Linked DNA regions of Caenorhabditis elegans. The protein of the gene in region 2 interacts with the protein of the main gene of each other region in a pairwise test. Each region holds a gene or a part of one and is shown on either strand. Other genes may lie near its edges.

Region 1 (16,818 bases), on a different chromosome or scaffold from region 2:
AACCGGAGAAGAAAAATGTACTTCCAAGTATTGATTCAGCTCCAAGTACACCAGGAGGTAATTCTTCTATGGTTACCACAACTTCTTCCATGGCCCCAGGGCAATCAATTTTCGGAAACATCGGGAATGTACCGGTCAGTGTTAGTAAAGTTTTTCCTGAAGCATCCGTTTAATGAAATTTTTATAGGTCCCGACTACAGCACCAACTGACAATCTTGCTCTTCCAGAAGAAAGTGTAATTGAAGGATCTGCAGGTCAGAGCAGTTTGGTTAGTGGAAGCATCGATCAACGGAAGGTTCAAGATATTGATCTCGTAGCTAATGGTACTGTTAATAGTCAGTTTATGTTTTATATCTTGTTTTTTAAAGATGGTGAATCACGTGATAGCACAAATGTTGGAGGTGTATCCAGCTCTGATGTTCGTCGCAAAAGAACTGCAAATGATTTCGAGTTGAGTGAAGCCAAGCGCTTGAGAGAAAGTCCAAATGAAACAGTCACAAGTAGTGAGACTCGACAACAAAGCAACGGCAAGAATTATCTATAGTTTTAACATGCAATAATTTTATTTTTCAGTTGCCGATATTCCAGAGCTAGATGACGATGATGGTGTTCTTGGTATGGAGCATGAAGTCAGTGATGAAGATCCGAATGATAATACAATTCAAGAACAACGGCCGGATGTTATTGATCTGGAAAATGATGAAGAAGTTCTTGAAGATGAAATGGACGAAGAGGAGGATGATGATAGCTTCGGAAATGACGAAGAATTTGAGGATGAAGAAGAAATTCCTGAAGATGACGACGACGATGATGTTGTTGTCCTATCCGATGGAGATGATGAACCAGCAAATGATAATGATGAAGAGAGTCTCAATGATATTGATGACGACGATGGTATTGAGGAGATCGAGATGGTTGAAGAATCAAACAACCGTGATATTGAAGAAGTTCTCGGAGGAGAAGGTTTTAAATTTAATCTACGTCTTCTTCCTAATTTTAGTTTACAGACTCGCAACCATCACTTGATGATCAAGATCGTGAGGCAGCTTCTGCTGTTGAAGAGGCTGAAGACGAAGGGCGTGATCCATTAGGAACTATTGACGAGCCGAGTGCACCCGCTGATCCTACTGGTGCCGCTGGTATTGGTAGCTCTGGAAGAATGGGCCAAGACGTGCAGAGAGTTCGGCTTCCAACGGGGCTTCGTGACGCCGAAAGAGAGGATCAATGTTCGAGCAGGTAAAACTATGCGTGATTCTATGTCATAATCGAAATAAGATTTTTCAGTAATGAAACAAACGATGAGCGACCAGCTGAACGTTTAACTGCTCGCAATCTCGCTCGTATGCAACGTCCAACCCGTGGAGCTAAACCAACTCGTGGAGTTTATACGCCTGCTCGTGGCAATCGAGGAGGTCGTGGAGGTGGAACCGCTTAAACAAACCATTCAATGCAACATGAATTGTTTCCATTTTTATTTATCATTCATACGTTCCCCAGTTGTTCTCTATTTATTTTTGATCCCGTAAGATTAACACCTCGTATTGGATTGCAGTTTCTACTGTGGTTTTTCAATACTTCGATGGTGGGTTTTAAATGAAACTGTAAATGCAACTGTGTTGTCTAGTTAACAGCTATATGTGTTCAATTTCTTTTGAACATAACAAAGAAAAACCTGCGTCGAGTGAAATCGAACTTGGGTGTGGGATGAACTGTTGTCTCGATCTCTTTGGCAAATTGTTGTGAAAGGGAAACAACAAAACCACTCGAAGTTACCGCAAAGATTGTAATACAAGAACGGGCAATCGAGAAGTTTGTAATAGTTGGTTAAAAAGAAGACCGAGACCTTTTTTCATCTCATTTCAACAATCAGAAGGTGAAGATGCATCTTATATTTCTCTGTTTTCTTTGCTTTTCCTCGGTTTCTTCAGATTTCTCACCTAGTTTCAATAAGTTTTTAATTGATAACTATGGTAAAGGAATCAATGATTTATTGGCAAGAAGAGATATTGGACCACATGGAAGTTATGGTGGTGGTACACATGATGGAAGTAAAAGAACCAGGTAACCTAGTTTTAGAGAGGAATTTAAGTTTGTGTACTCGCTGTTTATTTGGAGTTTCAATTACAAAAGATATATATAAAAAGTTAGAAAAGGATCCTGTTATTACTCAAACGCGAAGATTTGCGATTTTTCCGCCAAAACTACAGTACCCGGACGGGTTTGCGCCTTTAAAGGTTACTGTAATTTCAAACTTTCATTGCTCTGGAATTTTTATCGAATTCTTTTATAGTTTTCCGTAAAATATTTTTTACCATGAAAAACCATAAAAATCACATAATTAATAAGAAATCGGTTTAAAAAAACCATGAAAAATCTATGAAAATTCCACAAGAATGAAAATTGGAAATTACAGTACTTTTTAAAGGCCGTTTGCATTTAACAAAAATTGTAGTGTCGAGACCGGGTATCGTATTTAAATCTTCTGAACCTTTTTTTCAAGTTTCAAGAATATTGTGGCTCCAGTCTGGTTCTGCAAAGTCCCTTTTATATTGTTTTTTATTCCTACAGAACTTCGAGATTGTTTAATTTAAGTACCAATTCTCTCATTTTTCTTTGTGGTTCATAAAGTTAAGACAAACGAAATCATGACATCATCGTAATTTTATTGATCACTATAGTGGTCATATTAAACTAAATTAATTTCTCTAATTTCAGTAAACAAGCTGTTATTCTCGTGCATGGAATCACAAATACTGCAGGTACTTTCCAAGGGCATAGACATCATCTTCTGAATGCGGGATGGAGTGAAGAATTGGTCAGTTATACAGTTTCCCATTACAGGAGATTTTATTAGTGTAACACCATATCTATACGTTCATTGTTCGAGAAACGCGTTTATGAAAAACTGAAACGATTGGCTTAAAGTTGACGTCTTTTTTCTAATGATATCAATTTTCATGTGTTTGCAACGACTTACGGTGATGGTGGAAAGACAATGGCACCAATGGTGGATATGAAGTGTCAGTATGTGAAACAGGTTTATAAGCTTCAAATTACTCAAATGTCTATACTATATACACATGGTTATAGGTGAGATACATGATTCAAGTGGTTGCTGCGTTTACACATAGGAAGGTCGATGTAATTGGTTATTCATTGGGATCACCAATTGCAAGAAAGGTGAGAAATGAATACAATATTGAAAATCTACTTTATTACTGCTAGAACTTGAAATAAAATTATCAGTTACAATAGAAAACATTAAAGGTTTAAAGGTGCATGCAGAACTTTGAAAAGTTGGCTCACCTCCTCTTTGACATTTTTCTTAGATAAATTGTTTTGGGGGTTTTACTGTTTAGCATGGTCCAACATTTAATATAATTTACAAATTTCTTTAGGCAATTCTCGGAGGAGCTTGTGTGGAAACAGGAGAGAATCTCGGACCACCATTGACTGCATTAATTGACACATATGTATCTGTTGCTGGTAAGTTAAATTTTGAAATTTTTTTTCGTAGGAACCCGAAAATGTAATTTATATGTTTAATTTAATTTATTTATTTTATCTGATCCAAAAAAAACATTTACAACTGCCCAGAGCTTTCTTATCATTTTCTTCTCGAATTATCAATTCAGGAGCCAATCGTGGATCATTCCTTTGTGCTCTTCCATTTCCTGGAGCATGTAACATGAATAATGGACTATCATGTATGTCTGCATATATTAAGGATATCAATTCTCGTCCAAGATATGAAGGAAAATACATTTTTTCAATTTACGGACCAGGAGACGATAAAGTTGGATACCGTAATACTTGTGGACAGTTATGCTCACAGATTGCTGGAGCAAACGGCGAATTTGAAGTAAGATATTTCTTCAAGGCTTCAAAAGTGCCTTCTTATTACCCAGACACAAAATTTTGCGATTTTTGCGCCAAAACTACGGTACCCGGTCTTAGCACGATTTTTTTTGGAAAAATGCAAAAGGGTCTGCGCCTTTAATGAGTGCTGTAATTTCAACCCTCGTTGATGTGCAGTATTCACAATTGTTTCGAAGTTTTTCGTTTAAATAATATTTATTAATTAAAAACAATCAAACCCACATAAATTTTAACAATTCGTTTGCAAAGTTACGAAAAGTCGATAAAATTCCACAGAGACGAAAGTTAGAAGTTACAGTATCCCTTAAAGGCGCAGACTTGTTTGTTTCTGACGAAAATTGTCGAGACCGGATACCGTATTTTTGTGGAAAAATCACAAAATAACGCTTCTGGGAATACAATATTTAATAATAAATAATCAAATTTTCAGAGACCAGGAAACCATGACGATGTATTGATCAAAACTGCTGCTTTACAATTTAAATTAATTGATACACATGCTGGATGATAAAAAAATAATTCTTAAAAACGAAATCTCTGTACATTTGTTCAATTTATTAAATCAATTTATTAAATGTGTATCAATTTATTAAATACACATTCAAATTCGAAAATTATCTGTTTCTAAAATAAATGTTGCATACCAATATTATTTTAATATCAATCGAAATCTTTCCATGTTCTAGATTTTCTGAAAAAAGTTTAATAAAAAAGATTTATTGAAGTGCATAAAACAAGTAAATTTGTAGAACATAACCGAGATCGAGCCAGTCGATGGATAAAATTGAGCGGCTCTAATTTTCAAAAACTAAAATCATGAAGGCAAATGGAAAGAAGGCGGGAAATGAGAAAGTCCTCGGGAAATCGAATCACAACGTTTGAAATTGTATGCTAGATGAACATGGAATACTGTCAGAAAATATTGAAGATTATATCTTGATAAAATTTCTGACTGGTACTCATTGAAAAAATTTCGGTCTAGATACAATAAAAAATTATACATTTAAAAAATGTTATGGGTAATGGCTTTGTGAATGAGCATAAGAATTACTGACAGTTGAACTACAAGAACTTGAATTTAAAGTTCAGGTAGTTCTGTTGTGAGATCAAAGTATGGCTTTTGTCGCTTCTAGCGGTGGCAGTCCTCAATAGGAGAAAGTGGATAGAAGATGAATGAGGAACATGGTGTAGGAAGAAGCGATTGAATAAAAATCAATATAAAACATGAAACTAAATTACAGGAAGAATGATTTGGATAAAGGAACTGACGGATAAAATAAAGAGTCGTAGCTATGACTCTACTGGTTCCTTAGAACCACGAGAATTTCGAGAATACCGTTCTTTTGCTGGATCAGGGAATACATACTGACATGCATTAAATGAAGGAGGCATTCCATAACCAAATGCTGTTGGACAATCAATTGCAGATTCTCTGAAAAGAAATTAATATTCAAAAATCCAATAATCTTAATGACTTACTTGTCTTCATTAGTTGTAGACGATGCACATTTAACCATATGTGCATAAAGATCTCCTGTTGACGCAAAGTTGACGGCTTTACACAGTGTACATTGAATATGACTGATATCTCTCTTGATTGGCTTGTGATGCTGTACACTGTGTTTGTATCTTTTATCGAACATGTGAGTTCTATCGTGTCTCTGTAAAATATTATTTTTTAGCCTTTATTATATTATCTCAATTATTGTTGCGAAAAATACGGTACCCGGTCTCGACACGATAAGTTTTGTAAAAAAATTAAACACGCGTGCGCCTTTAAGAAGTACAGTAATCTCAAATAAAAATTTGATTTTTCAGCACTTTCGGCGATTTTTCATATTTTTTCTTATGTGCAGTTTTTTTTTTTAATTTCAAATTGTACTTTTTTAGTTTTTCTTATAAATAATTATATATTATTCGCAAAAAACATATAAAATTCAATATTTTTTTTCCTAAATTACAGTACCCTTCTCCAGGGCTGTAGATATTCTTTTTCGATTTTTCTTCGTGGACTGGCGAAGCCGTATTTTTTTATAATGTTTTTTAAAACAAAAAATTCTGATATACTGAAAAATTCATAAATTTTCAAATTTTACTTTTTTTGGTAATATGACGAATTTCTACTTTCTTTAAAATTTAAAATTCTCACACAAAAAATACTCACCTGTACATAATAATATTCCGGAAGTGCTCTGTTGCATTTCCCATCGTTATAATCTTCATTGAGGTGTAGCTGAAACTGATTGTAGCTGTCAAAAGATCCTTTACAATTGAAACAGAACACTCCAGCATCATTGTGACCGAGACATTCAGAAGATTTCAAAGTCACTTTTGGACGAGGTGGCTGACTTGATGGAACTAAAACATCTTTAATCGGATAATGTGGAGTATCATCTTCAAATTCTTGTTCTTGAGCGTCGTAAAATCTGCAAAAATCTTGAATTACTTTTCTGTTGAAAAAAGAAAGGGAAGACTCTTGAAAAAGAAAAGACAACGAATACGGAGGTGCTAATCGAGTTGAGAGTCACTCTTCTCTCTTTTCTCATCGTCTTCACCACTTCAGTTCAATTTCAAACTCACTCTTGGTCTGGCTCAGAGTCTAGTAATTGATCTATTCCAGGATCTTCTTCTATTTCAACTTTTTTCGGTGCAACTTTATTGGGTCTTAATGTTTGTTCTAACACAGCCATAGCGTTGAATCTCCATTGCTTTTCCGAATTTGTAGCCAGTTTTATTTCTGAAATTACTTTTATAAGGATTATTGAGAATAATAAATTATTCGTACCATTCGTAACGTCATAATCTGCAAATTTTCTCGATTCTTCCTTCCTCGCAGCTTTTCTTTTTTCTTCCTTGTCACAAACATGTTCTTTAATGTGCAATAGCGTACGAGAAGCAAGTCTACAGTGATCACAGAAAAATGGAAGAACTCTTGGTTTCAGCTGCTTCTTGTATTTTCGAACTAGATTCACTGCAATTCGATGGGAAGGGCTTCCACTGTTCCATCGTTTTGGACGGCTGAAAAATAAATATTTTAGAACATCCCCGAATAACAAAGATTCAAGCATGACATACATCGAATAAAACACATTACTCCTCTCTTTTCTTCGTTTCTCTTTGCTCTGTCGAAATATTACACTGGTGTGAGAGCAAGAACACATGCTATCGAAGTCCAGAGACTTCCGATCAATACTTTTTTACTGATATTTTTTAAATAACTAATTGGATTTAAATGTTCTTCGATTTATAATTCTTTTAGAGTTTTTTCAACTCACCTTAACAAAATTCCACGAAGTGACGGGTGCAGAAGATAGGCTGCACCAACTGGTAAATCGCGAATCATGAGCTTCCGATTATGGGGTCGATGCATTTTTTTCTTCTGCTTCTTGCTGGAAGCCATCGATTCTAGAGGAGGTCGTCGAGGCGGAAAAGGAAAGGGAAAGAGTAATCTGCAATTTGCACAAGTTGCAGAATTTTCGTTGGTTCAAACGGTTTTGTCAGATAATAGAGCGAGTTTCAGAAATAAAAAAAATGATACAAAATTTGAAAGTCTTTCAGAGTGCTCAAATCATAACTGGCTCTCACTTCAGTCAAACATATCGGCTTGGATACAAACTACTTATCATTTGCAAAGCTCGTGGAGATCCTAGACCGACAATTAAATGGTATAAGGAAGGTGCTGAAATTCAACCAAAAGCTAGCATTCACGTGAGTCATGTACAGTAATCCGTGGGTTAACTGCTTTACTTGCAGTATTACGAAAAGCCAATCGAAAATGATACAATTTGGAGTAAATTAGAAGTTGGTAAGTGAAAATTGTTGTCAATCAAGAATATCTTTAGAACCCTTGCGAAAAATGATACAATATGATAAGAAACTTTTTTGTCACTGTCAGCAAATTTTGGAATTTCGCTCATTTCTCTACAATTTTTTTGCCATATTCAGCGCTTTTTAAAGTTTTTCTTCTTAACTGTGAGCGAATGGCAAACTACAATAACGACAGCTAAATATACGACAGTTGTCATATTTTCAGATCCGGCAACAATGGGCGATCAGGGTGTCTATGCATGTGTGGCTAATAACCCGCACGGAGTAATGGCAAAGAATTTTAAAGCAGAATATACGTATTGAATAAAGATTTTTCACAAATCAAATAATTTTCTCTCACCTAATCTATATCATATAAACTTGCGAAGGAATGCGTTTGAAACCTCCTCCTTCTGTTGCGTGCAGGCGCACGAGCGACAAAACAAACAGTGTTTGGGAGTGAGAGAAGCGGGATGAACAGGTGTGCGGTGGCGGTAAATTCGAGTGAAGGCGGGAATGTGTTCAGAATGAATACAGAAAAAGAGCTGATGACGTTGTAAACGAAATTCATGAACGAAAAGCAGGCACATCTCGCGCGGAAAAGGGAGGAGACGCGGCAGGGAACCGGATTGGGGGACTATTGATCGAACAATAAGGAAGAAGAGAAGTACGCGCCGTCGGTTATCGAAACTCCAAATTTTTCTTCTTTTAATTGGGAAAAGTATTACGAACATGTAATTTCATGGAATTCACACGGTTTACAATGAAGTTATCAAGAGAAAATATGCAATTCTAAAAATTTAGGGCAGATTGAATCGTCGATTGGATTGAAGTGAAAGAAGAGAAATAGAAATTTCGCGAGTGAGATTCAATCGGAGCATTGTTAGAATTCTATCTAGAAATGTAAGACAAAAAATACGAAATAGCATATTGAAATATAAAACCTTAAAATTAAAAAGAAGGCAATTTTAAAATTAATTTTACGAAATACAATTGAGAAAAAATGGAAAACACAACGGATTCAATCGAAGTTAATATTCTAGAGATGGTATTTATAAATTGAGGACAAATATTCTGCACTAGGAGAAACAAGAAAAAAGAAAGAAGTTTCTGGCTGGCAATCGTTCGCACAGGAAAAATAAAAAACTAAAATGGCCGCCCGTCTGTTAGCATGGAACGGGTTACGCTAGTTATAGACTAAGCTTACATACAAAATATGTATGTATAATATCCTCACAGCGTAACAAAGTGAGATATAGTTTAAATTCTAGATGATGACTTTAGAAATCCTATTTGGTGGTTTTACGAAGTTTACAGCGTCATTTCTAGACTGAAACTGACCAGTCTGGGATATCATTTGTCTAATCAAGTACTCTATCTAGATAACTGACCGATCTAATAAGTTTTCACGAGTTACGGGACCTAAATTTGAATCCAATAATTCGGTGACGACTGGCGACCCTATGTTAGATGTAGTGATGTCTCCATTCTCTCAATACTCTCTCGTCTTTTTCTCTGCGTATCTCACCACTAGCGTAGTCTATGAGTGCGAGCGGCCGCGTCGCGGTCGTCTTTAGGCTCGCCGACAAACTGTCCACCATCTTCTTTTTTTCCTTTTTTCGCCGTGTTCAACAAAGCTCATTCACGCTTTTCGTTGTTTTACAGGCTTTTATTGTTTTTTCTAATTATTGATTATTCATTTATAAGAGCAGAATTAATCAATAAACGTAGGTAGACGATCGAAGTATCCTATCAGTTTTTAATTTGATAAATTTTCTCGAAAGGAGCAATCATGTTTTAAATTATTTAAAAAATGGTCCGCTTAAGTTTGTCTGACTGTTTAACAATTATTGAAATCATTTTCGTGACATTTTATTGAACATTGCTTCCAAATTCCCCTAACATAATCCTGACTGAGATGTTCCAGTGTTTCATGTCGAATTATTCCTATTTTTGTACCTTTTCTTAAATATAACTAGTTTCAAATATATGCAAGTTGTTTGGTACGGAAAACCGATTCAAACTTCCGACCAGTTACCGATGAATCATTGCCAAAATTCCTCATCTAAAGAATTATACGCACAAGTTGTTTTGGCCATTTTGCCTTATTTCTTCATCGTTTATTAAGGCGTTTACCGTTTTTTTTTCTTGCTCTTTCTTCGATAATTATTGCTCCCAATGGTAAAGAAACGCTCGTGGCATTTCGAAAGAGACTATTGATTTTCTGCCTGATGTTTCGCAATTCGTTTTCATTCTCTAGTTATCTCTCCTTTTAAAACGTGTGCGTGCACATTTATGTGACTCATCCGTATTTTTCACTATAAAGACGTAATTTTAATACTTTTATTCATTTTTTTTTTCAGGCGAAATGCAGACGATCAAGTGCGTCGTCGTTGGAGATGGAGCTGTCGGTAAAACTTGTCTCCTGATCAGCTATACCACAAACAAGTTTCCTTCTGAGTATGTGCCGACAGTCTTCGACAATTACGCCGTAAGTTTAAGAAAAAAAAATTATTTTATATAAAAATAATTTCCGAATTTCAGGTCACAGTAATGATCGGTGGCGAGCCATACACATTAGGATTGTTTGATACTGCTGGACAGGAAGATTACGATCGATTAAGGCCTCTATCGTATCCACAGACCGACGTGTTTCTTGTTTGCTTCTCCGTGGTTGCTCCAGCTTCATTCGAGAATGTCCGAGAAAAAGTAAGAAATATTGTTCTCGAATTTATTCTATATATCTGAAATTGTTTTAGTGGGTGCCTGAAATTTCGCATCATTGCTCAAAGACCCCATTCTTGTTAGTTGGTACTCAAGTCGATCTCAGGGATGATCCAGGAATGCTCGAGAAACTGGCAAAAAACAAGCAGAAACCAGTGTCAACGGATGTTGGAGAGAAGTTGGCAAAGGAATTGAAAGCAGTGAAATACGTTGAATGCTCAGCGTTGACGCAGGTGAGTCATTCTTTCCAAAATAGTCATTGATAATATTGAAACATTAAAATAAAATATCATCCAATCCACGAAACCTAATCAAATAATAAATTTTTAAATATTAAAACGAGGCTCTTGTGGAAATACGTGACACTTTAAAATATAAATATCACTTTTCAGTTAAATTGTTGCTTTATATTTAGCAACGGTCATGTTTTCGGGAAAAACGAACAACCAGAATTCTGTTTTTATTGTGCAAAAAATTATCTCCTGAAATGCTCTATATTCCGGCTGAAAATACCATAGTTTTCATATTATGTTGATTAAAAACGCTTGTATATTGAAGTTTAAATAGTTTATTTTCAGAAGGGACTGAAAAATGTATTCGACGAAGCCATTCTGGCCGCTCTCGACCCACCACAACAGGAGAAGAAGAAGAAGTGCAATATTCTCTAGGAACGTCTTCCTTGTCTCCATGTTTTCCTCTGTTTTGTGACTGTGTTTTTCTTTCTATGTCCAAATTTTCTTAGCCCCCGACTTCCACTCTTCTCATACTTCTAAATTTCCCTGAAAAATGCCAAACGAGAAGCGGTTGCTGTTATTTTTGACAGCATCATAGAAGATGATTTTCTTCAATTCGTCTCCTGTAACTTATCCAGTAGAATCTCGATGAGCATGATTCCAGAATTTTTTAATTGTTTCGTATAGAATTTCGATAAGCAGGGCAGTTTATAGTTTCTCATCTGTTTTCGAATTTTTATCGAATAATCCCCTCGAAAATTTTTAAAAGTTCATCCAAATTAACTATCATTCTTTTCAATGACACCTCCTCTTTAACATTTTCGTCGTCGTTTTTATTTTCTTTTTTATCCCAAAACGTGTTTATAGTCCGGATACACCGTTACGTAATGCGCCTTCTCCTTTCCCATGGTTCTTTTTATAATTATATAATAGGTGTTGTATAGCACAACCAACTACATCCCGAGTCGCTTGTTTCTTCATTTGCTGCTCAAAAATACCGACCAGTTTGTTTTTCTTCTTTCCTTTTTTTTGTGCTTTTCTGCCTTCACACATCCATTTCCCATTTTAAACTGTTTTCTCATCCACTACGTTTTGTGTCTCCCTCCTCCTTTCTCCAGAACAACTCTGTATTTTAATTTTTCTACATATTGTTGTTATATATTTGCGATCCAAAACAATAAAGGTGTGATATAAAAAATTAAGATGTTTATAAAAGATCTTGAAAAGTATACAAGTGGGTGTTGTAGAAAAAGAAGAACCGGAACCATAAGGCATTGAGAAAAATAATTAATGAGTGGGTGAATTGGAACGAAAAATAATTATTATCACTGACAAAAAGTACTGTTTGACGAGGAGAGGAACATAATCACCGTGTATGAGGAAATGGGCTTCAACTAGAAACGATAAGAGAACATAAAATAGAGGCAAGGATGACTAGAATTAATGAACAAATTGACAAAAAATGAAATTATTTCACTTCAATCAAATGACGAAGAGATTTTGGAGTACTTGAATCATTATAATGTTTTGTTGTGAAACGAAGACCAGCAAGTAGACAATCAGACTGAAAATAAAACAATTAATATGGGTTGCTCAATTTTATTCTAATTTTTATTATGGAAGCGCAGAAAAATGCTCATTTTGAAAGCGCGTTTGCAATCGCGCTTTACGGACAAACTGTTGGGTCTCGTTAGGTATTCGCAGAAAACTAGAAATTCGAACATGTTCAAACATTTTTCGTCTGCTTTAAATGCTTTCCGCTATTCTTTTAAATTAATTTCAGTCCGAAATTGATGAATTAAAATTTATAAACGAAAAAAAAATTCGATTTTCATTGTCACATGCATTTTTAAAATAATAATTTTGAAACAAAAATCATTAAAAACAACTTCAAATTGTATGAATTAATGCTGTCAATTCCTAACGAGACTCATAGTTTGGCGTTGGAGCGAGCTTGCCCCTTCATTTCATTTTTCTGCGTCCCCATAATGTTTGGAAAACGATATAAGCAATTTTCGCTCTACTACACGAAAACTCTAAATATGAAAAACGCTTACCTGTTCAGGAGTGGTATTTAGTTTGATCAACCTGACAACATCTCTCATATCAATTGATGAGTTTGACACGAATGCACCATTTTGATCTACGTGATCGAATAATATTACAAGGCCAGTCATCACTCGACAGCAAAGATGTTTCGATGAATCTGTCAGTCGTGCCAGACATTCGTCATTTGCTAACATGAATCGGCAAACGCTGAAAATTTTAATACAATTTTATTTTACCGTAACTCATCATATCGTAACTCATGACTGATCAGTGAAAAAAGTAGTTGAAAATCACTATTAAAGTGCAAAAATGACCAAGAACTTTCCAAAAAAAGTTAATGTTTCATTTGCAGTGAAAAAGAAGATCAATTCATAATTTTGGAAGTATTTTTGAAAGATTTGTCAGATTTCCAAAACGTTGACTGAAACTTTTCATAACACTAAAAATTATTTAATCACGATATTTAAAAGATTTCCATTTTCTTGCTTGTGTTCCATAAATTGCGGATGGAGTTTACGATATATTCCAAAAGTATGTTTTTCAGTTTAATTTATAGAAAACTCACTTGATAATTGTTACAAAAACATCAGTTGTATTGTTAATTGGCAAGCTTTGATGTGTCTGCATGTACGAATCTACACCATTACAAAGTGCTTTTAACATTGGATTTCCTTCACAAAGAAACATTTGAACTTGTGGTAATTCGGGAACTCCTTGGTCTCTACAAATTTAAAATTATATTAGATTGTTTCAAATAAATTAAATACTTACTCAAAATCCTGATAAACAATATGTTTTGCTCGTCGGTAATAACTGTAATCATTTGTTATCTGGGCGGTTCTCATCTGAAATTAAATTTTTTTCTTTAATTGGAAAAGTGGAATTCATACTTTTACGACATCAAAGTCCAATACAAATCCAATTAATCGTGCAAACTGTTTGGCAATTGATTGTTTATTTGCAAGTTGTTCTTCGAGAGGTAATGGGCCAGATGATAATTCCCATAGAATTATTGGTACGATTTTTTCAATTTTTGCAACATGTTCATAGTAGGAACATGTTCTGGCAACAAATGGTTCAAGCTTTGTCATTAAAACTTTTAAAGCTTGAGTATCACTGTCATTTTTTAATTGATTTCTTTCTGCATAGCAACCTGAAAATTGATGTTACAAGTCTACTAAAAAATAAAAATCTAACGTACCATTTCCATAACTTGATACATCAGCAAGTACTAAATCACAATCATTTAATACTTCTTCAGCCATATTATATATTTCCCTTTCTTCATCTGTTGGTTGTGCATTTTCAAAATCCACAAAAATCTCGACCCATTTTGAATTATCATCTGCTGTTGATCGTATAATTGATCGTATCATCTCAAGACAAGATGCATCAGATTCTCGAATATTCGACGGCATTCTGCGAATCATTAAGCTGAGTATTGAATAGTATTTTAGAAGTGAAAGTTGGAAAATAAAAAGAAAATAAGCGTATAATTACACGATGATCACATGAAGATTATAAGATGCCGGAGAAAAGTAGTTGAAATGGGGGAAAATGGAAAACAAAAAAACTGGGAATCTTGAAAACAAGTACCATCTGGAGTTGAAAGGGAATGAAATCAAAGTGTTCGAAGGAGAATCTTAAAAATGGCAGCTGGACGATAGCCGGACAAAAAAGCTGGGGAAAGATGCACCTGGTACAAATTGCAGCTGTTTCAGAAATTGCTGCGAGTAAAGTAAAAAGGTCAGTGCTCTTGGTGCACTTTAAATCTAATTTTAAAAAAATTGTCTTGGTACATATATAATTATCCAAAATGACAAAAATGAATTTTTAGATTTTTGAATAATAATGAATTTAGGTTAATTTTCGAAAACTTGGACTTTCTGACAATGAGAAGTTTAAAACAGTACTGCAACACCTGGGATGTTGGAACAAATATAATTTAAATATAACAAAATATGAACTCGTATCTACGAAAATTAAAACAAAAAATATAACTTTGGCATTTGGACATTTTAGCACCATAAGACGGTAATATTTGTCGCGTCTAAAATTTAAAAGATTTCAAAACTTATAGTCAGATACCATGGCTACACTATCAATTGTGAAAAACCAAAAACTGTCTGTCAGCTAGATAAGTATTTTGAATGAGAACCGAAATTGTGTGGGTGTGAAGCAAAGAAGAAAAAAGGTAACCGAACAGATTGGACTTGTAAAATGCAAACATATTGGGTGGCCGGTGTTTGAATTGTGTACATATATATCGGCAGCAGTGCGCGGGAATGCATTTCCTAGTGGATGTTGTCCGCAAAAATGAAATGGAAGAAAAATAGAAGAAGCCATTGGAAAGAAGACTATAAGAAGTGCACAGCTCGTTGTGCGCCGAAACAAAATGGCTCATGGATACAAAATGCGTGAAGAGCAGGAAATTGGTGCTGTTGGCTCACTATTGCTTTTACTTGTTTTATAAAAATGACCAAAAGAGAGTGAGAGGGAGCCTTGAGACAATGCTTGGGTCATTTTGAAATGAAAGGAAATTAGGGGAAAATGGGTGAAAATGGTGGACGCACGATGCGGTCATAAACGGGCCGGCGACGTGAGGAAAAGTGAAAAGTTGTTTATGGATGAAGACGTCGTCCTTACGGAAATTGAAGAGAGAGAGAGACTCTTTGGAAGTGTCACACGGAAAAGAATGAATTGGAATAGAACACGAGAAAAGACATGATTAGAGAGAAAGAAAGAAGAAGAGATACTTACCAAGTTGTGACCTTGGACAAATGGATTTTAACAAAAACAATATTTACGGATTCTGAAAAATTTTCAATTTTGGGTACAATTTTCAGGAAAATTTATACTTTTGATGTAAAAGACAAGCAGAAATTCTTCCAAAAAGGAGCTTTGAATATTCCGATCGTTTTTTTTAATCAAAAAACAATTATTTCAAAACTTTTCAGAAAAAAATAGATATGCAAATATTTTTATTATCAGCAATTGTAGAATTTGAACCCTTGATTACAAAATTTCCTAGAAAAAAGTATTTGTTTCAAACGGAGTAAGTGATACGAATAAATTGCAGCAGGTATCTAGAAAACCTGCGACTGGAAATGTTTTTTTTTCCAATCATAAATTGTTTATGGAACGAGAAAACGGGACAACCTTGTGATATAGATTTTTCGTAAAAATTGAAAAATATATATGTGCAGCAAAAAAAAATAAATGAAATTTAATCTGAAGGCGTGATGCTTCCGATATATTCAACGGCACCCGTTTTTTCTTTGCTTTGGTTTTTTTGTGACTACTCCAGAAAAGCGATAAGATCTAAGAAAAAAGAATAAAAGAATAGGTGAAAAGGAGAAATAGGTTGTTGACAAAGTGTCAAAACGTTCCGAAATGAGAGACATGAGAAATAGGTAGCACAAATCAAAAAAAAATAAAAGTAAAAAAAAAACAGAGCGGCTTTGGGGTGGTGACACAAATTGGAGCAAATAGAAAATTTGAAAAAAAAACGGCCGAGGAAAGGAAAAAAGAGAGAATGAGCCCAATGACAACAAGCAATTGGATTGTTATTCTGAAGACTAAACAGAAATTGAATCATGCATTATTCATTTAACTCTCTTTTATTTTTTCTAAAATTTTCATTTTTTGTTCTTTAACATTAGTGCGGAATTTTTATAGAAAAAGTTAAAGATTTAGCAAATCAACTGCTCAATTTTTGTAGAATCCATTTTGAAAAAAGTAACTCGGAGTATGGAAATAAATTAGCTACCAAAATAAATATTGATACCAAAACTTGAGAACAAAAAGCTCTAATTTTAGAACACTTCGAGCAAAACACAAAACCCATAAAACTCAGTGAGCATTCCAATGATTAATGAAAACTATGTATAGCTCTAGGACTGAGCCAAAAGTGGAAACAAAAGCAAATAAAAATCGAATTATGTCCTGTGCCAGATGGTGTCGATTTACAAGCTGTAGAGTGAGAGGGTACTCTGGAAGGAAAGGGAAATCCAACTGAATTGGCAACACTTATCTGGAGGAGTAAGAGGAGGAAAAGCTGAAGATGAGCGAAACGACTTGAAAATTTGATATCAATGGGGAACATATGTCGACGAGATGTGAAGGA
Region 2 (16,818 bases):
AGCTTCGAACAAACTTTCTAAATATCAAAGCATAGCAAATAAAATAATGAACTTCTCATAGTAAATGTCAGTTTTAGGTTTCACACTTATTCACATTATTAAACTATCTTCTTCAATAAAGTAGCTTTGTAAAACCGCTTCATTTCGCTTTAACCTTTTTTCATCATTGTGTACAGTAATATTTTGTTTCCACAAAAAAGGCAAAAATTTATTCATGTCTCCCAATAAAATACTAGATTGCTACTGACCGCCTATAAATATTTTACACCACAATTCTTGTCGTTATAACTCAAAATATCGCATTGGTCAACAGACCAAATGGAGACACGTTCCTAACACCCACAAACTTTCTCGCTTTCTTATCATCCAAGTCTTTGGCAAAATAGATAGCAACATGTAATTGACTAGGCAAATAAAACAAAATTGCTTTGTTGAAGCACGAGTTTCATTTTTGTTCCATCTTCTTCCTTGTACAATTCTCCGAAAACATGATTTTCTGTCCATTTTATCAGTTTTCTATCCTTTTCCATCTCGATATCTCGATAGATTTGAAAATCCAAATTCAAAACAAAAAATGAATAAGAAAACGATAGCGGCAACCAACATCATCGTCGGCGTTCTTCAAGTTTGTCGTCAAAAGGAGACACGCTGTGAGTCAGTTTTGTCTGATTTCATGCTCTCTTCGCATCCCAACGACGGGTTGTTTGAAATTCGAATGCACTTTTAGATGGGTGATATTCGAATTTTTAAGCAATGAAAATCTATTGCATTAAATCTTTTCGAGACTCCAAAAAATCTTTAATGGTCTGGTAATCTTAAAGCCCCGTTTAAATCACGAAATATCCGCTATTTGGGAGTATGCAGAGTGAACGTGCTAGGTTGTTCCGACTCAATAGACTCATGTTTATATAAAACTAGCTTCCTTAGCTTGGTTTACTTGTTCGACAATATCAGTCTGAGTACCTGCCATATGAATAAAATCAGATCTTAAAACAATCTGTGTCTTCAAAACTATTCCATAAGCAGAAGCTGGCAACCCAATTTTTCTCTAGATCTTTCACTCCTCTACCAACGACCACGATTCCTTGGTTCCCAGGCTTCTTACGCAACATATCGTATGCTTTTTTTTAAACCGAAATCAAAACATATCAGCAACGACCACCTGTTTTGTGGTTGGGTCTCCCCAACCTTCACCTTTTTGAGGTGGTTCAACTCCTCCTTTTTTGAATGGCGCCACCTTTAAAAGTTGGGGAGGTGTTCCAGAGCTCCGCCCATTGAAACACTTTAAGATTTGAGCTATCTCAAATCATTCTCAAGTAGATATGTCAAACCATACAAATCTCCCAACTATATTTGAAGAAGGGTTCGAAACTTACTTAGAGCTCGCACACGTCGACGACGAAGCAAGTGGTTCAGACCTTAGCCTGAACACAGAAGATTCAACTATTGATCTTGAATTTCTTGGAACCTTTTCACATTATGATGAAAACCCCAACAGCAGTACCTTTACTGTTGATTTTTTGAATTCGTCCTGTGACTTCAGTAATCCTGATGCAGCGATTTTTGAAGATATCAAGAGCATTCGACTTGGTTCAAACGATTTGAGTACTTTTCCAAATGAAAATGAAGCAGTCTATAAAACACCTAACAATCAGATAGAAGAAAGTGCAGATTCACGAAATGCCAAAAAAGACGAATCAGTAAAGAGGTGGTGGCAATTTTGGGGGTAAGTTTTCTCTTGAGTTTTTGAGAGAAGAATAGTGGGATTCTGTGAGTGAGTGAGAAAGAGTAGAATTCATTATAGATATAATTTTTATTAAAATAAATAATGTTTTGTCAATTTCTGTAATACAAATTTACCATGATAAAGTCGTTAATTTTAAGTGTATGAAAATTGAATTGTTTCACTGTAAGCTTATAAGACCTGGTTATGTTGAGAAACTCCGTAACTTCATTTTTAAACGGTGGTTTGAATATAATTTTGTATAATGGAATTTCATTTGAAACATCCACAGGAGCATATTTTGCAATGCACTCTCTAATTAAAAAAAAAAACTGCGTTTTCTTCACGTTTTGAGTTAGAAAGCAATGCTTAAACAACCGTCTTTCGTGGCGAAGTTTTGTCGAAAATGAGTTTTTTAAAGATGATTTATTTGAAGCTCATATTATGTTTAAATGGAGGTATTGTTTGTGAATTAATACAATATAGATAAACCAGCCGATGACCGCGCCTCCGGCGCGGCCAACGACTGGCGGAGTTTAAAATGTATAACACATAGATGTCCTTTCAATCATTCAAAAATGTATCATTAAAAAAGTTGAAACTTCATCGATTAAATCGCATTTTCTTCTTCCATGGTATTCGATTCAGAAAATTCAAAGAGACAGTTAGAATGTTCTGATTTTTCTACACTCAAAATTATAAAACTGCGTTGCGTGTACCCCAAAATAGTCCCCGCCTTTTTCTCGTTCACTCACGGGGAAAAGGCAAAAAGCAGTACCCCAGGTAATATCAGCCGCCGACATCATTCGAGGTCCGCGCACCACACTATTTTTCTCACTGTTGGCGTGGCGAGCTGTCCCCCTCCCCCGAAATAATTCCACAGAGTTACAGTTTTTTCAATAAGTTAATAACTTTCCTTAACTGGAGAAGTCTGAATAATTAACTACTAATAGTAAGTTCTTTGAATATAGATGTGACGAAACAAATAAAAACTCCTACAGTTATAGGAGGTTGTAGAGCATTTCAGAACTTTTTGAATTTTCCAGATGATTCTAGAACATTCTAGAATTTTCTTGAAACTTCCAGAAGGTGCTGAAACAAAAAATTGATTCCAGAACCAAAATTTGAATTTCCCGCCAAATGTTTTCCTCAGAAAATTTGAATTTCCCGTCAAAATCTTTTTCACTGAAAATTTGAATTTCCCGCCAAATTGTTTTTTCACTGAAAATTTGAATTTCCCGCCAAAATTTTTTCACTGAAAATTTGAATTTCCCGCCAAATTTTTTTTCACTGAAAATTTGAATTTCCCGCCAAAAATGTGGGTCTCACCGCGAAGGGTCTCACCACGATGGGTCTCACCACGAAGGGTCTCACCACGATGGGTCTCACCACGATGGGTCTCACCACGAAGGGTCTCACCACGATGGGTCTCACGACGAAGGTGACAGGCCCCGCCCACAACTCTCACTGACTTTGGGTGTGACGTCACAGACTACAAAGACTACATAGACTACAAACTATGGACAGACGAACTGTATTTTTTTATATATAAGTAATGATATTTTTTTCATAGAAAATTTGAATTTCCCGCCAAAATTTTTTCACTGAAAATTTGAATTTCCCGCCAAAATTTTTTCAGAAAATTTGAATTCACGCCAAAAATTTTCAAAGAAAATTTGAATTCCCGCCAAAAAATTTTTCAGAAAATTTGAATTCCCGCCAAAAATTTTCAAAGAAAATTTGAATTCCCGCCAAAAAATTTTGAAGGAAATTTAAATTCCCGCCAAAATGTTTCAGAGAAAATTTGAACTCCCGCCAAAAATTTTTCAGAAAATTTGAATTCCCGCCAAAATTTTTCACAGAAAATTTGAATTCCCGCCAAAAAATTTTAAAGAAAATTTGAATTCCCGCCAAAAATTTTCAAAGAAAATTTGAATTCCCGCCAAAAAATTTTGAAGGAAATTTAAATTCCCGCCAAAATTTTTCAGAGAAAATTTGAACTCCCGCCAAAAATTTTTCAGAAAATTTGAATTCCCGCCAAAATTTTTCACGGAAAATTTGAATTCCCGCCAAAAAATTTTAAAGAAAATTTAAATTCCCGCCAAAAATTTTCAGAGAAAATTTGAATTCCCGCCAAAAATTTTCAAAGAAAATTTGAATTCCCGCCAAAAAATTTTGAAGGAAATTTAAATTCCCGCCAAAATGTTTCAGAGAAAATTTGAACTCCCGCCAAAAATTTTTCAGAAAATTTGAATTCCCGCCAAAATTTTTCACAGAAAATTTGAATTCCCGCCAAAAAATTTTAAAGAAAATTTGAATTCCCGCCAAAAATTTTTCAGAAAATTTGAATTCCCGCCAAAATTTTTCACAGAAAATTTGAATTCCCGCCAAAAAATTTTAAAGAAAATTTGAATTCCCGCCAAAAATTTTCAAAGAAAATTTGAATTCCCGCCAAAAAATTTTGAAGGAAATTTAAATTCCCGCCAAAATTTTTCAGAGAAAATTTGAACTCCCGCCAAAAATTTTTCAGAAAATTTGAATTCCCGCCAAAATTTTTCACGGAAAATTTGAATTCCCGCCAAAAAATTTTAAAGAAAATTTAAATTCCCGCCAAAAATTTTCAGAGAAAATTTGAATTCCCGCCAAAAATTTTCAAAGAAAATTTGAATTCCCGCCAAAAAATTTTGAAGGAAATTTAAATTCCCGCCAAAATGTTTCAGAGAAAATTTGAACTCCCGCCAAAAATTTTTCAGAAAATTTGAATTCCCGCCAAAATTTTTCACAGAAAATTTGAATTCCCGCCAAAAAATTTTAAAGAAAATTTGAATTCCCGCCAAAAATTTTCAAAGAAAATTTGAATTCCCGCCAAAAAATTTTGAAGGAAATTTAAATTCCCGCCAAAATTTTTCAGAGAAAATTTGAACTCCCGCCAAAAATTTTTCAGAAAATTTGAATTCCCGCCAAAATTTTTCACGGAAAATTTGAATTCCCGCCAAAAAATTTTAAAGAAAATTTAAATTCCCGCCAAAAATTTTCAGAGAAAATTTGAATTCCCGCCAAAAATGTTTCAGAAAATTTGAATTCACGCCAAAAATTTTCAGAGAAATTTTGAATTCCCGCCAAAAAATTTTAAAGAAAATTTAAATTCCCGCCAAAAATTTTCAGAGAAAATTTGAATTCCCGCCAAAAATGTTTCAGAAAATTTGAATTCACGCCAAAAATTTTCAGAGAAATTTTGAATTCCCGCCAAAAAATTTTAAAGAAAATTTAAATTCCCGCCAAAAATTTTCAGAGAAAATTTGAATTCCCGCCAAAAATGTTTCAGAAAATTTGAATTCACGCCAAAAATTTTCAAAGAAAATTTGAATTCCCGCCAAAAAATTTTGAAGAAAATTTGAACTACCGCCAAAAATTTTCACAGAAAATTTGAATTCCCGCCGAAAAATTTCAAAGAAAATTTAAATTCCCGCCAAAATGTATGGGTCTCGCCACGATGGGTCTCGCCACGATGGGTCTCGCCACGATGGGTCTCGCCACGAAGGGTCTCGCAACGATGGGTCTCGCCACGAAGGGTGACTGGCCCCGCCCACAACTCTCAGTGACTTTAGGGGTGACGTCACAGACTACAAAGACTACATAGACTACAAACTATAGACAGACCCACACTATTTTTTTATATATAAGTAATGATCTCAAATTCACAATTTCCTTTGTCAAGTTACTCAAAAGTTGGCTTTTGTTTTGAATTTCACTATAAAGTAACCATAGAGACATCTTATTGTTCTTCCATTATACTTCACCTCTCTATATCGACACGGTTCTCATACACCTACCAATTACCAGTTAGCGGAAAAATATGCACTGAACTGAAAAAGTCGTCATAGTCATTATGAATACTATTATTCGTGTCACATTTGTGTGATGGGTCATCACACCATCATCATTTCATTCTCTATCTTTATACATATCACATCTAGTTTCTACTTGTTTATGCATTGAAAATCTGATGCTTCATGCTGTAACAAAAGTTTAGGATTTATTTGCACGACCTGCCCTACCTCATTCCTCGTCTTCCACATTTTCTAATCAAATGAATTGAGGACAAGAAGAGATATCAAAACAGAAGATAGGTTGATTTAGCACGGAGGTGATAATTGGCGAAAAAATGGGGGAGAAGTGAAAGCGCTAGGTGATAAGGGGAAGAAAAAAGATGGATGGATGTGCGTTTTTCTTGACATATCTCTTCCAATCATGCCATGTTTCCGCGGTCCCGTTCAAAATCACACGTCAACTTTTTATTTTGATAGATTAGATATATTATTTCAATGTATTCTTCTCGCATCTCAAATATTTAGGAATAACTGGATTGAGCTAAAAGAACTTTGAAATGCTATATTTATACCTTTGTTTTGAACACCCAACTTTTCAACTGGTTAATACACTCTTTTTTAAAAATGCAAATGATATAACCAAAACTTTTCGTGGGAGTTAATTAAGTTAAAAATATTTTTAAATAAATATATTATTTAATATATGGTGTACGGTTGAAATTGTAAGCCAAAGATTTTTTAATGTGCGGTGTGAACAACGAAACAGTTCCAAAAGTTTTTTGAAAAATCTCAGTTTTTAAAACTTCGAACTTGGGGATTTAATATAAAATATTTGGAAAACTACGAAATCGCATATCTGAACCGCCTCACTATAGTTTTTTTGATAACATTTTTCATACATTTGTGGTTTTCAATTTTTACTTGTCTAATTTTTATTTTGATTAACATAAGGACAATTTTTCTGTAGAAAGTGAGCAGAAATAATCAATTTTTTTTTTAAATCACATTGGAAACTAAATCCTCAACGCAATTTTAGATGTTTGAAGTGATATGTGTTTATTATTCACCTACATATGCAACACGTTGGAAACACTTATTACAACTTAACAGCACGGGTTTATCATTCTTCCTTCCTTCCACCTTCTCCTCTCAATTTCCACCCTTTATCTTCCCTTTACTGCACTTCATAAGTGCTTTTATCTCTTTTTCTTTTCCTCTCGATTTGCAGCATGTCATTATCTTTTTTGTCGTATATGTTTAAGTCAACGATTATTAACTTCAATTTAAGCATCGACCGTGTATCCTGTGCTATTATGTTTTTGTTGTTTGAGGCTATTTTGAAAAGTGCACAGCCTCCTCCGCATGTGCTCACTAGTTCTAATTGAATTTATCTGATTATTCGAGGAGAACCTTCTCAGATGCATAGAGTTGGTTTTTGTTCAAAAAATTTTTTCTTAGTCAGAAGTTAAATGTAATGTGCACCCATCACTGATCATAGTACATATGAATATAAAGTTTATTCAGCGAAGTTAAGGATTCTAACATGTAAAACAGCTGAATTATTTAAATTAGGAAAAATCGGTTAAAATCACCTTGAAAAATGTTGCCATATTGACTATAGCTATTAAGTAATAATTTTCTAAATGGAATTCATATTAATTCAGCTGGCAAATTTGGAAAAGTGTTTTGTCACCATCATGTTTTATTTTTATTTTTTGTAATTCAGTTAAATTGTTGGACGCTATGTTTTTTTGTTGAAGAATTGACACGAAATTCGTTAAAACTATAATTATCATTTTTTAAGAACATATCCGACAACTTTTCGTGAGAGCCATTGCAGTTTATAAAAGGTATCTTGTTCTAGTGGTACATTTTAGATGTAAACTCGCAAAGAGCTGATAATATGAGGAAAATCTTCACTATAATTTTTCACCTAAGAATATCCTTGATGACTACAACTCGAACTCAATTTTCCATAAGCTACTATTAAACTTTTTTTTCCTACATTGACCATTAGTAGTATTAGCTGTAGTTATATTCTTTGTTGTTGTTGTTGCATCCAATGCACTCCTAGACCGACAAAAATTGCAAAGAAGAAGAGGAGAAAAGAATGTGTAGTTTTGTGGAGTTGTGAGTGACCGGCCATCCACATTGCGCCCTTCCTATTCCCATCACCCTGCTTTCACCACTCTTGTCGAGATTTTGGTGAAAAGCGAGTAAAATGCAATACATTACGAGGCATTCTTCGCGCGGGAGGAAACCCGGGGACCCCCTTGCTTTTCATCTACAACACTCCCTTTTTCTACATATTTCGCATTTCCTATCTTTTTATGCATTACTACTTCTTGTGGACCCCTTGAGTAGCAAAATACAACTACATCTCAAAAAGAGAAAGTAAACAAGATTAAGACAAAAAACTATATGTGTTCACAAAATCTGTTCTTTCTCCTATATTCTATCCGTCTTTTTTGTTTCCTACTTTTCTTTTTGTTTTTTGACATGAACATCTGCTTTCTCTTTTGTCCTAAATTAAATTCTGAATCGATCATTTTACAGGAGCTCAGATGAAATGAGCCTCAAAGACTTTGTCATATCAAAAACCGAAGTAATCGATGCTTGTAAAAAAGGAGAATATGATAAAGTTGCGTTGTTTCTCAGCTCGAAAAAGGGCAAAAAGATTCGAAGCGGGCTGAAGTAATACTTATTTTCTAATTTTCAAATAAACTATTGATATTTTTCAGATTTTTCACAACGCGATCAGACAGTCATTGGCTCGCCGACTACAAAGATGAAAAATCTGACTTCACCTTACTCCATCATGCGGTTCTCGAGAATCAAAATCAAATCAGTAAACTCCTTATGGACTACGAACCACTTCTTTTACTGTGTAAAAGTACAAAAAATATTTTACCAATTCACTTGGCCGCCTGGAATGGGAACTTGGAGATTGTGAAAATGCTTCTTTTACAAACAATGGAAAAGCCCGCAGATATTCTGAATGCAGTGAACATTTTCAATGAAACTCCACTTCATCTTGCAGTTCAGAGATGTCATCTTGAAGTTGTGTTCTATTTGATAAAGGTAAGCAAAGATAACTTTGAGAATTAAAACTATTCGACTGTGAACAGGAACAACATTCATATCTATAATAAGTTATTCAATTTTGCAATGCGTTTGACGTTTGATTCTTGTATAGAGATTAAATTGTTGACAGATTTAACAATTGTTAGCTTGAAAAATCACGTATCGTTTCAATTTCCTTAAATTTCAGAAAAATGCCGACCCCTTCATTCGTAATGAAAACAAGGAAAATGTGATTGACGTTGCATCACGCATTGGATCTGCTGAAGCCATCAGAATGTTGTGCCAAAAATGGCCAAAGTTTCCTGTGCAGTCAGCATATGAGTCTCTTCGAGTTGGAACACCGGACATAAAACGGCCCTTTCCGGCCATATACCCATTTCACCTTGCAGCAAAGTATAATCACGTTGAGTGCATGCAAGTGAGTTGCTTTTTCCACTTTGCTATTCATTATTCAAGAATTGAGTATAAGAGTAAGGGTGATGCAGAATAGTTTACTCCTTGCGTGAATGTTGGTAGCAATTTGAGAATAGCAAAAAAACGGGGTTAATTTTCTGATAGGCGTGTTTCATATGAATCTGCAAGTTTGTACAATGTTTACAAATTTGAAATTCGAAATAGATTCGATAGTAACATGCTTATGATTTCATTTTCATAACTCATCCCAAAAAACGTTTAGTTTGAAATATAAACACTCAACAGATATTTTTTTGACTGTGCACTTATGCGTCACGGTGTTTGCGGTTTTCCAACAAAAAAAACTATATTTTCTGTAGTAAATATTTTGAAACACTACTATTTATTATTTGTATTTTTGTAGTTTAATCATAGGTTTATAAGACTCATATGTTCTGTAGATTTTTTTAGTTAAACAAACCCAATCAAATAATTTACTGTTTCACTTAAATGAAAAATGTACTAAATGTTTAATTTCAGGCTCTTCGTGAACATGGTTTCTCCATTAACTACACTACGGAAGATGGGACAGCTCTACATGTGGCTTCTGCTTGTGGACAGGCCGAGGCAGTCAGGTTTCTGCTGGAAATTGGCGTGAACACTGATATCAAAAATCAACACGGACAAACAGTGCTCCAAATGATCATCGATCTCCAGGAGAACCGAAGGAATGAAATCGCCCATTTTGTAAAAAATCCGGAAGGATGGAAGGAATGTAGAACAATTATCGAAGGAATGGATAGAAGAGACTCTGGAAGAGAAACCGAAGGAAGTCAAAGTGACAATGAAAGAGAAGCAATTTGGCAACCACTTCCAAGTCAAGCAAGCGGTGGGTTATTTTTAAAACTAATAATATGTGCATTGTAAGGAACATTTCGGTTATCAATCGAGTTAAGCTCAAAGTTCAAAATCTGAATGATAAATAAAGTTATTCACGATTTCAGTTCAAGTATACCCGGATCAACGAAGAAACAATCATTCCATCTACCAGCCACCTTCTATTTCTGCAAGACTGCGAGATTTATCCCCCGACGACTCTACAGAAGCTTTGAACAGTGTTCGATCAGAGGGGCCTTACACCACACACTCTATCAATCGTACATGGAACAGTTCCATGTTAGACAGAGCTCCAAGAACTGGAAGGTTCCCGTTGACATCGCCTAGTTATCACTCAAAGCATTATTCGTGTCAAAGATCCAGCGATACATTGCCAACGAGGCTGAAAAATGTTAGAACGAGGCCAACAGAAAAGCAAATAGGTAATCTATTATCGATATTCTGAGTTTACGGATTGACTTTATTTTCAGCTTCTGTACTCCCGGGAGATAATTGTGCATACAACTCTCCTTCAAAATTCAATGAATGGCAAAAGAGTCAACTGACCATTAGCAATCGTCCGCCAGCACCATATGACAACGTTCCGAACAACTCTGCAATATTCGTCCGCCCCAACTCACCAATAGCAAGATCTGCATCACTCCGTAGACAATCCGGATACGCAACACTTCCAAAACTTGCCACCTACTCTCCAAGAATTCCAGATCATGGTCGTCCTGACCTGAATGACGCCTTTATTCAAGACCCAGACAAAACAATGGATAGGTCATTGAATCGGAACCGTAAGTATAGGAAACGACTCTAATTAATATAAAATAAAGACTTTTAAGAGTTTTCTATTTCCCGAACTACGTGTGATCGTGAAGAATCGCTGGGATTGACGCAAAGTCCAAGACTGGACACCAGAGCAAGCAGCATAACATCATCCTTGACATACGCGTGCTCGACACTTGACAAAGGTAGGCATTTTAAGCAAAAATGGAATGATTTAGGGGCATACGACAACCTAAAAAATTTCTAGCATATGATGTACGAGTTGATAAGTTCGGGTAGATTATGAGAAAACGAATCTTCCAACACTGATCTCATGCTCGGTATCTTGTTAACTCTGAAAAAAAACTTTGGTCAATGACAAGGAAAAAATCATTTCCTAAACTTATGGAGTCCTGAAGTCAATCTAAATAAATGCAATTTCAGATAAGTTCTTCCGGGAACGCGAACGTGATAACGGCCGTGCACCATTGGCAATGCCAGAAGAAATAACAGGTTCAGTGACAGGCAGTGTCATTTACAGCCAAGGAAATGCGAATCAACATCTAAATGGGAATTATGAGAAAGACAACAATGTGACTGCAATTTTTTTAGAAGACGTGATGAGACCATCATCAAACTCTGCCGAGAGCCCACCTTCCCCAAACACCTCTAAAGCATTCATCTTTGACGCGTTATGTGGAAAATCTCGGCTGGTTGACTCTACAAATGTTGATTTCTTCTCTGGATTCTCGTCATCGTCAAATTTGAGCCACAGAAGCACTGAATCAACGTCGAAGGTGCAGATGAATAGCAGTTTCACTGAGCCGGAAGAGCCTGTCCGAATCCGCCGTCAAAATGGAACAACGAACCTTATGCTGAATTCACTTTCACCCACAGATAATTTGTCGTCCCCCTCATCAGACCAGAAATCAGACACGACCAGTGAAGAACCTAGTTGGGATAGGGTAAGTCGATCAGGGGACAAACCAATTTTTGTTTATTTTTTCGTAACAATGGCGTATCTGCAAAAAGCACACGGATTTTATGTTTCTCAACAGTTTCTCAATAGTCAGCTATTGTTAATGTAAAGAAAAACAGATCAGAAGTTTTTTTTAATGATAAAAACCTGCACTCGCTGTGCGGGCTTAATTCTTACGGTGTATTTGAAATACAGAGCCAGAAAAACTGTAATAGGTCAGTCTTTTTTGTGTATTTGCAAAGCTGGGTAGCGGGAATAAAACGCAGTAAAAAATAACGGCAGCGCCTAAACGTTTGTGCGTTTTTGGATTATCAGCATTAAACAACAAAAAACGATTTAAATGTCAATTCTATAATTTCAAATTTGAAAAAAGTGTCAGTGAAACTTTGTTAATTTTTTGTATAACAGGTGGAAAGTGTATTCGATTCGTTTGGTGCAGCTCCATGTCGTGAAAGTGTTTTTGTTCGTGAATACGAGCCACGTGTGGCAGTTTACTTACGTGATCGTGGGTCGAAAGCGTTGAGCGTAACACTTGTCGAGGATGAGTTCAGAGATCACAAGTCGCTTCTTGTAAAAAAGGTACTTTTAGTTACATTTTTGTTTCAACTTCCATTCATGTCACGTTTTACACCGGTTGTTCATGTTTCAGCAACCAAAAACAATAATTGAGTGGTTGGAAAGTGATGTTATGTTAGCCCCAGTAGCGGCTGATTCAGTTGGAGCACTTCTTCAAACTCATGGATATGATAGAATGGATCAACTAAAAGGGATAATAAATAGAAGTATCCTTACGGAAATCGGAGTAGATGACGTCACCAAGTTCAAGATAATGTCAGAGATTGAGAAATTGAAGGATGATGTTGCTAGTGCTGGTTGGTTTTTTTTTGAAACATAAAACACATTCATAAAACACATTTACTCTGCCGGAACATTTTAAGAAACCTTCATCAATTTTTCAAATCACTTTTCAATTCCAGGACGTTTCTTCTATGTTAGTGAATGGCTCAACTTCATCGGACTTCAAGATTACATTTCCAACTTTGTCGGTGCAGGATACAAGCATATGGCAAAATTGACAGAAATTGACTGGGACACGGCAAGATTGATGGTGAGTAAATTTGTTCAAATAACAACTTTTGTGATTTTAAGATACTTTTTATCACTGATTTCGCGTTTATTAATCAAAAAATATCCATAGACCTGTGATAATTGTTGCATATTTTTAATTTCAGCAACTCGGTGTTACTCGTCCTGGTCACATTGCTAGAATGCTCCATTCGTTCAAAAAAGCAGAAGACGAAAAAAGAAAAGAGTACAATAATCGACTACAGATTAAGCCATTAATGTCACCTCCTCCTCTGCCGCCAAGGTCAAAACAGTAAGTTTTTAATGAGAAATAATTTTCAAAAGAACAAACATTCAACAAGTTTCAGAAACAACTGTGCTGAATGCCCACAAGGCGATTTTGACAAGATCAAGAACAAGTTGCTGCAGGGCAACGTGGTGTATCGTGCACACCACCTCGGTGTTCTGGAAATTGGAGAAACCGAATGCTCTGATGAAGCTCATGCAGCTATGACAAGAATCAAAGAGTCGATAATTGACTGGGAGACTATTCCACGGGTTACTTTGGATTTGACTTGCAATGGAATCACTATCTTCGATGAAACTTTTAAGGTAATGATTAAATTATCACCTAATGGAATTGACAAATTGTAAAAGTTCAGCAGAACTGAGAAGCGGTTAAAGAATAAGGGGGTCGGGAAACAATAATTTAACGACTGATACACCTGCATTCGTTGCAGGAAAGTTATGACGTGAAAGTATTTCATAAAATCTGATTACTTATGAAATATACTTATACGATGTGAAAAAAACACAAAGATATTTTAATCGTATGGTATTTCGGAAATTGGATTTTAGAAATAGAACATCATATTTCTCGAACCGAGAATTCATATTTTGTTTGTGTTTATCAATTTTATCAATTGTATTTTCTCAGCAGACGTTAGAGGTTGAGACGTTTTTTGACTAGTCTAGGAAATTCGCCGCAATCGGATATCAGCTGTAGGCCACAAAAGACCACCCGCAATATTAATTTGATTAGAAAATCCGAAGCGTTGACAAACTTGCCCCCCGATTAATCTCAATGATTTTTTAGACTCTACTTGACGGCTATGGTGTCTATACAATAAGAGTCGTATGTCAGGATAGAAAGGATCTCAACTTCTTCTGCTTTGTTGCAAGGGACACTGAAAATCGTTTCTTTTGTCACACTTTCTGTGTGCTGACCTCGGTATTTCGCACAAATAATGCCTTAGAAAAGTTCATATTTCTAGGGAATTGCCGCAGAAATCATCACCACAATCGGAATGATGTTTGAGCTCAGAAGCAGAATGGACAAGTCTCTGCCAATCGAAGGAACAATGGTACGATGCCGGCATAACAGTCAGCAAACTACTGAGAACCAAAGAAATTAAATCCAGCATATCGGTCAAATTCCAAAGAATAATTATTACCATTGATCCCAGTATATCTGAATTTCAGCCATAAGTAGATGAGATTGGCTTTTGTTACGTGTAACTTTACTTAATTTTTAAAAACCTTATTGAAAGTTGTTTTCAATTTAATTTCCTAACCCGATGTCTTCCTTACCCGGAAATGTTTTAATTCTAGCTCTTCAAAAGTGCATTCCGTTGTTTGATGTTCTTTCTATTCTTGTTTTCCCAACAACTTAATTTTCTTTTAGCGATTTCAAACCATACAAAGTGATCAATAAACAGTATTCTGCTGATCTTACGTATTGGTTTCATCAACCCCTCACATCACATCAACCTTTCTCGATTCTATCCTATCGTTTTTTTCCAAAAACCCTTCAATTTTTTTGTCCATAATGAATTGTTCCCATCAGTTTTAGATACATTTTTCACCACAAAAGATGTGTTTTTTTTTTGCCCATCAAAGGGCCATAGGGGGTGCCGTCGTTTTGTGATTCTTTCAAAAAGATTGGCAGGAGAAGATAAAACTGAACCGAGTGCAGGAACAGAAAAAGCAAGGATGAACCCCTCCCTTTTCGAATTAAATAAATAGAGGAAGGGAAGGCGGAACGGTTGCATTTTTTCATGAATGCATCCATGAACGAACTTTATGACGTGAAAGGACTTGGACTTTCTTCAATGGATACGAATATTAGAAATGCACCATCCGTTATAACATCGTCCCCTGGACCATCAGTGTCAATATCGTTAATTTCAGGTATTAGTTTTTATTAGAGAATTTTCTATATTCCAATTTCTCATAATTATTGTTAAAATGTTAATAGAAAAATTTCAAACTTATTAGGTAACCGTAGATAAAATCGGTTTGAAAAGAAAATGCTCAAAAAAATTTTCACGTTTCATGCCAAACAACAAATATTGAGAAATTTGTTTAATGAATGTTTTTTTTCAACTTTAAATGTGTTTAGCGAAAGGCCCTGAATTAATTTGAATAATTTCTTACAACAACACAAATTTTGTGTGACTACGAATCCGGAGATCAGTCTTGCAGGATTGACATTGCTTCCAACTTCGTGCCCACAATGCCATAGTTTGCATACTTTGGACATAAACAAGCTGATGTCCTCAATTTCAAGTCTTAATACTGCAACTAAAATAACTCCCCACATCTCTTCATCGTCTTGTTTTTTACCTTCATTCAGTCATCAAGTTGAAGAGAATTTTCAAAAACGAAAAATATTTAATGAAAAACCACAGCCTGAAAAAAGAATTTGTATGGAGAATATGTCGCATCCAGTTCCATCAATTCCAATCATTTCCGCACCTTCAATTCAACAGACCAAACATCCAAAGCACGTGTTTAATGATTGGATGAATTTTTTCAGCAGTTTTAATGGAGCTGTTAACTTGAAACTAGATGATGGAACAAAAGGGAACAACTTTTACTATCAGTTCCATTTGCAACTAGCACAATATTACCAAGACAAGATGTGTATGGAAGGAGTTGTAAGTGTAGACTTTTATACTGATGTTTAATGAAAAAGCAAATTTCAGATTCAGTTAGGAAAACCGTTCAAATTGGAGGAAACTTCTGACGCGGATCGCATGAACATAATCACAACTTCTGTTGCTTCCACGTACAAAGCGATGTATGACAAAGAAATAGAACGGTTGACATTGGAGAACAAAAATATGGCTGACAAAATTAGAACCCAGGTTGGACTAGAAACGTAATTGCAACAATAAAAATAAACATTTTTCAGCATGCTACGTCGATTTACTTGTTTCCTGGAATTGCATATGGAAGGTCAGTTTATCAATTCGATAGCTTTGAATCTACCTAGCTTTTTAAACTTTTTGATTTGAAAGTTGTCGTACTTCTTTTTTGATCATTCCACTTACAGCGAACTAGCAAATTATTATTGCAAATTATATTACTTTAGATTTTCAGAAATCCAAGTGAAGATTCACCCGAAGTAATTGATCATTTGATGTTCGAAATAATTTACAAGGGGTTTATGGAAGTTACACCCGAAAAAGATACAAATAATTTTGGGAAACAAGTCCATGGTGTGCTCACATCAATAAATTGCAAAACGAGAAATGAATGCTCAACGAGAGTTTCAATGATGACTGTTTCTAACAGCGAAATTGTTGTCCAAATTCCGTTTGTAAGAAATTATTTCTCAATATTGTAAATGCGTAAACAATTCATTTCAGACATCTCGGATCAAAATCTCAAACATTCTGGCTGTTGGTAAGTATGGCGAAGACCGAAACTATTTCTGTATTGCATATCACAATTCGAAAACTGTGGAGCATGTTAAAATAATTGTTTTTTGCACACACAGTTGTGTAAGTTTTAGTTCTAGACAGCGATAATGGTTAAGATTTTTCAGTTTACATCATCAGATATTGTAAATTCTATAATACGTAAGACGGCTATCAATAAAGGACGTGAAGCATTGATGATACAAATCTAAGAACACCGAAGACAAATATATATATATATATATATATATATATTGATATCTTAAGAATTTGATTCACGTTGGTGCTTGTATATTTTACTTGCGAGAAACCATTGTCATATTTAAAATAACTTCTCATGAATATTCTGTTAATTTCATTATTTAACTGTTTTTTTTTCAGTTTAGAGAA

What was found.
Region 1: the proteins of C11E4.6 (region 2) and R07G3.8 interact in a two-hybrid assay, tested with the Caenorhabditis elegans proteins (2 studies listed by BioGRID).

Annotation. Positions count from the first base shown.
Region 1 is NC_003280.10:7,606,403-7,623,220, forward strand, and holds R07G3.8 (CYRIA/CYRIB Rac1 binding domain-containing protein), read right to left. Parts: upstream 14,112-16,818; 5' UTR 14,111-14,111; coding exon 13,894-14,110; intron 13,846-13,893; coding exon 13,583-13,845; intron 13,538-13,582; coding exon 13,464-13,537; intron 13,414-13,463; coding exon 13,258-13,413; intron 12,900-13,257; coding exon 12,701-12,899; intron 12,208-12,700; coding exon 12,112-12,207; 3' UTR 11,836-12,111; downstream 1-11,835. Other genes in the region: npp-21 (TPR_MLP1_2 domain-containing protein), read left to right, coding at 1-134, 188-323, 369-527, 574-963, 1,008-1,236, 1,276-1,435; lips-17 (LIPaSe related), read left to right, coding at 1,880-2,061, 2,716-2,815, 2,960-3,037, 3,091-3,180, 3,399-3,486, 3,636-3,862, 4,310-4,387; R07G3.7 (uncharacterized protein), read right to left, coding at 5,170-5,311, 5,359-5,540, 6,044-6,305, 6,460-6,616, 6,665-6,897, 7,155-7,279; Immunoglobulin domain-containing protein oig-4, read left to right, coding at 7,221-7,388, 7,438-7,587, 7,633-7,684, 7,913-8,010; cdc-42 (Cell division control protein 42 homolog), read left to right, coding at 10,055-10,177, 10,231-10,395, 10,446-10,643, 10,989-11,078.
Region 2 is NC_003284.9:9,602,454-9,619,271, forward strand, and holds C11E4.6 (ANK_REP_REGION domain-containing protein), read left to right. Parts: upstream 1-8,109; 5' UTR 8,110-8,122; coding exon 8,123-8,247; intron 8,248-8,294; coding exon 8,295-8,634; intron 8,635-8,824; coding exon 8,825-9,055; intron 9,056-9,570; coding exon 9,571-9,919; intron 9,920-10,034; coding exon 10,035-10,349; intron 10,350-10,397; coding exon 10,398-10,709; intron 10,710-10,757; coding exon 10,758-10,886; intron 10,887-11,124; coding exon 11,125-11,645; intron 11,646-12,067; coding exon 12,068-12,238; intron 12,239-12,308; coding exon 12,309-12,531; intron 12,532-12,636; coding exon 12,637-12,767; intron 12,768-12,891; coding exon 12,892-13,037; intron 13,038-13,092; coding exon 13,093-13,336; intron 13,337-13,820; coding exon 13,821-13,955; intron 13,956-13,998; coding exon 13,999-14,139; 3' UTR 14,140-14,592; downstream 14,593-16,818. Other genes in the region: C11E4.7 (PID domain-containing protein), read left to right, coding at 14,794-14,914, 15,209-15,663, 15,712-15,873, 15,921-15,964, 16,109-16,328, 16,378-16,512, 16,557-16,640.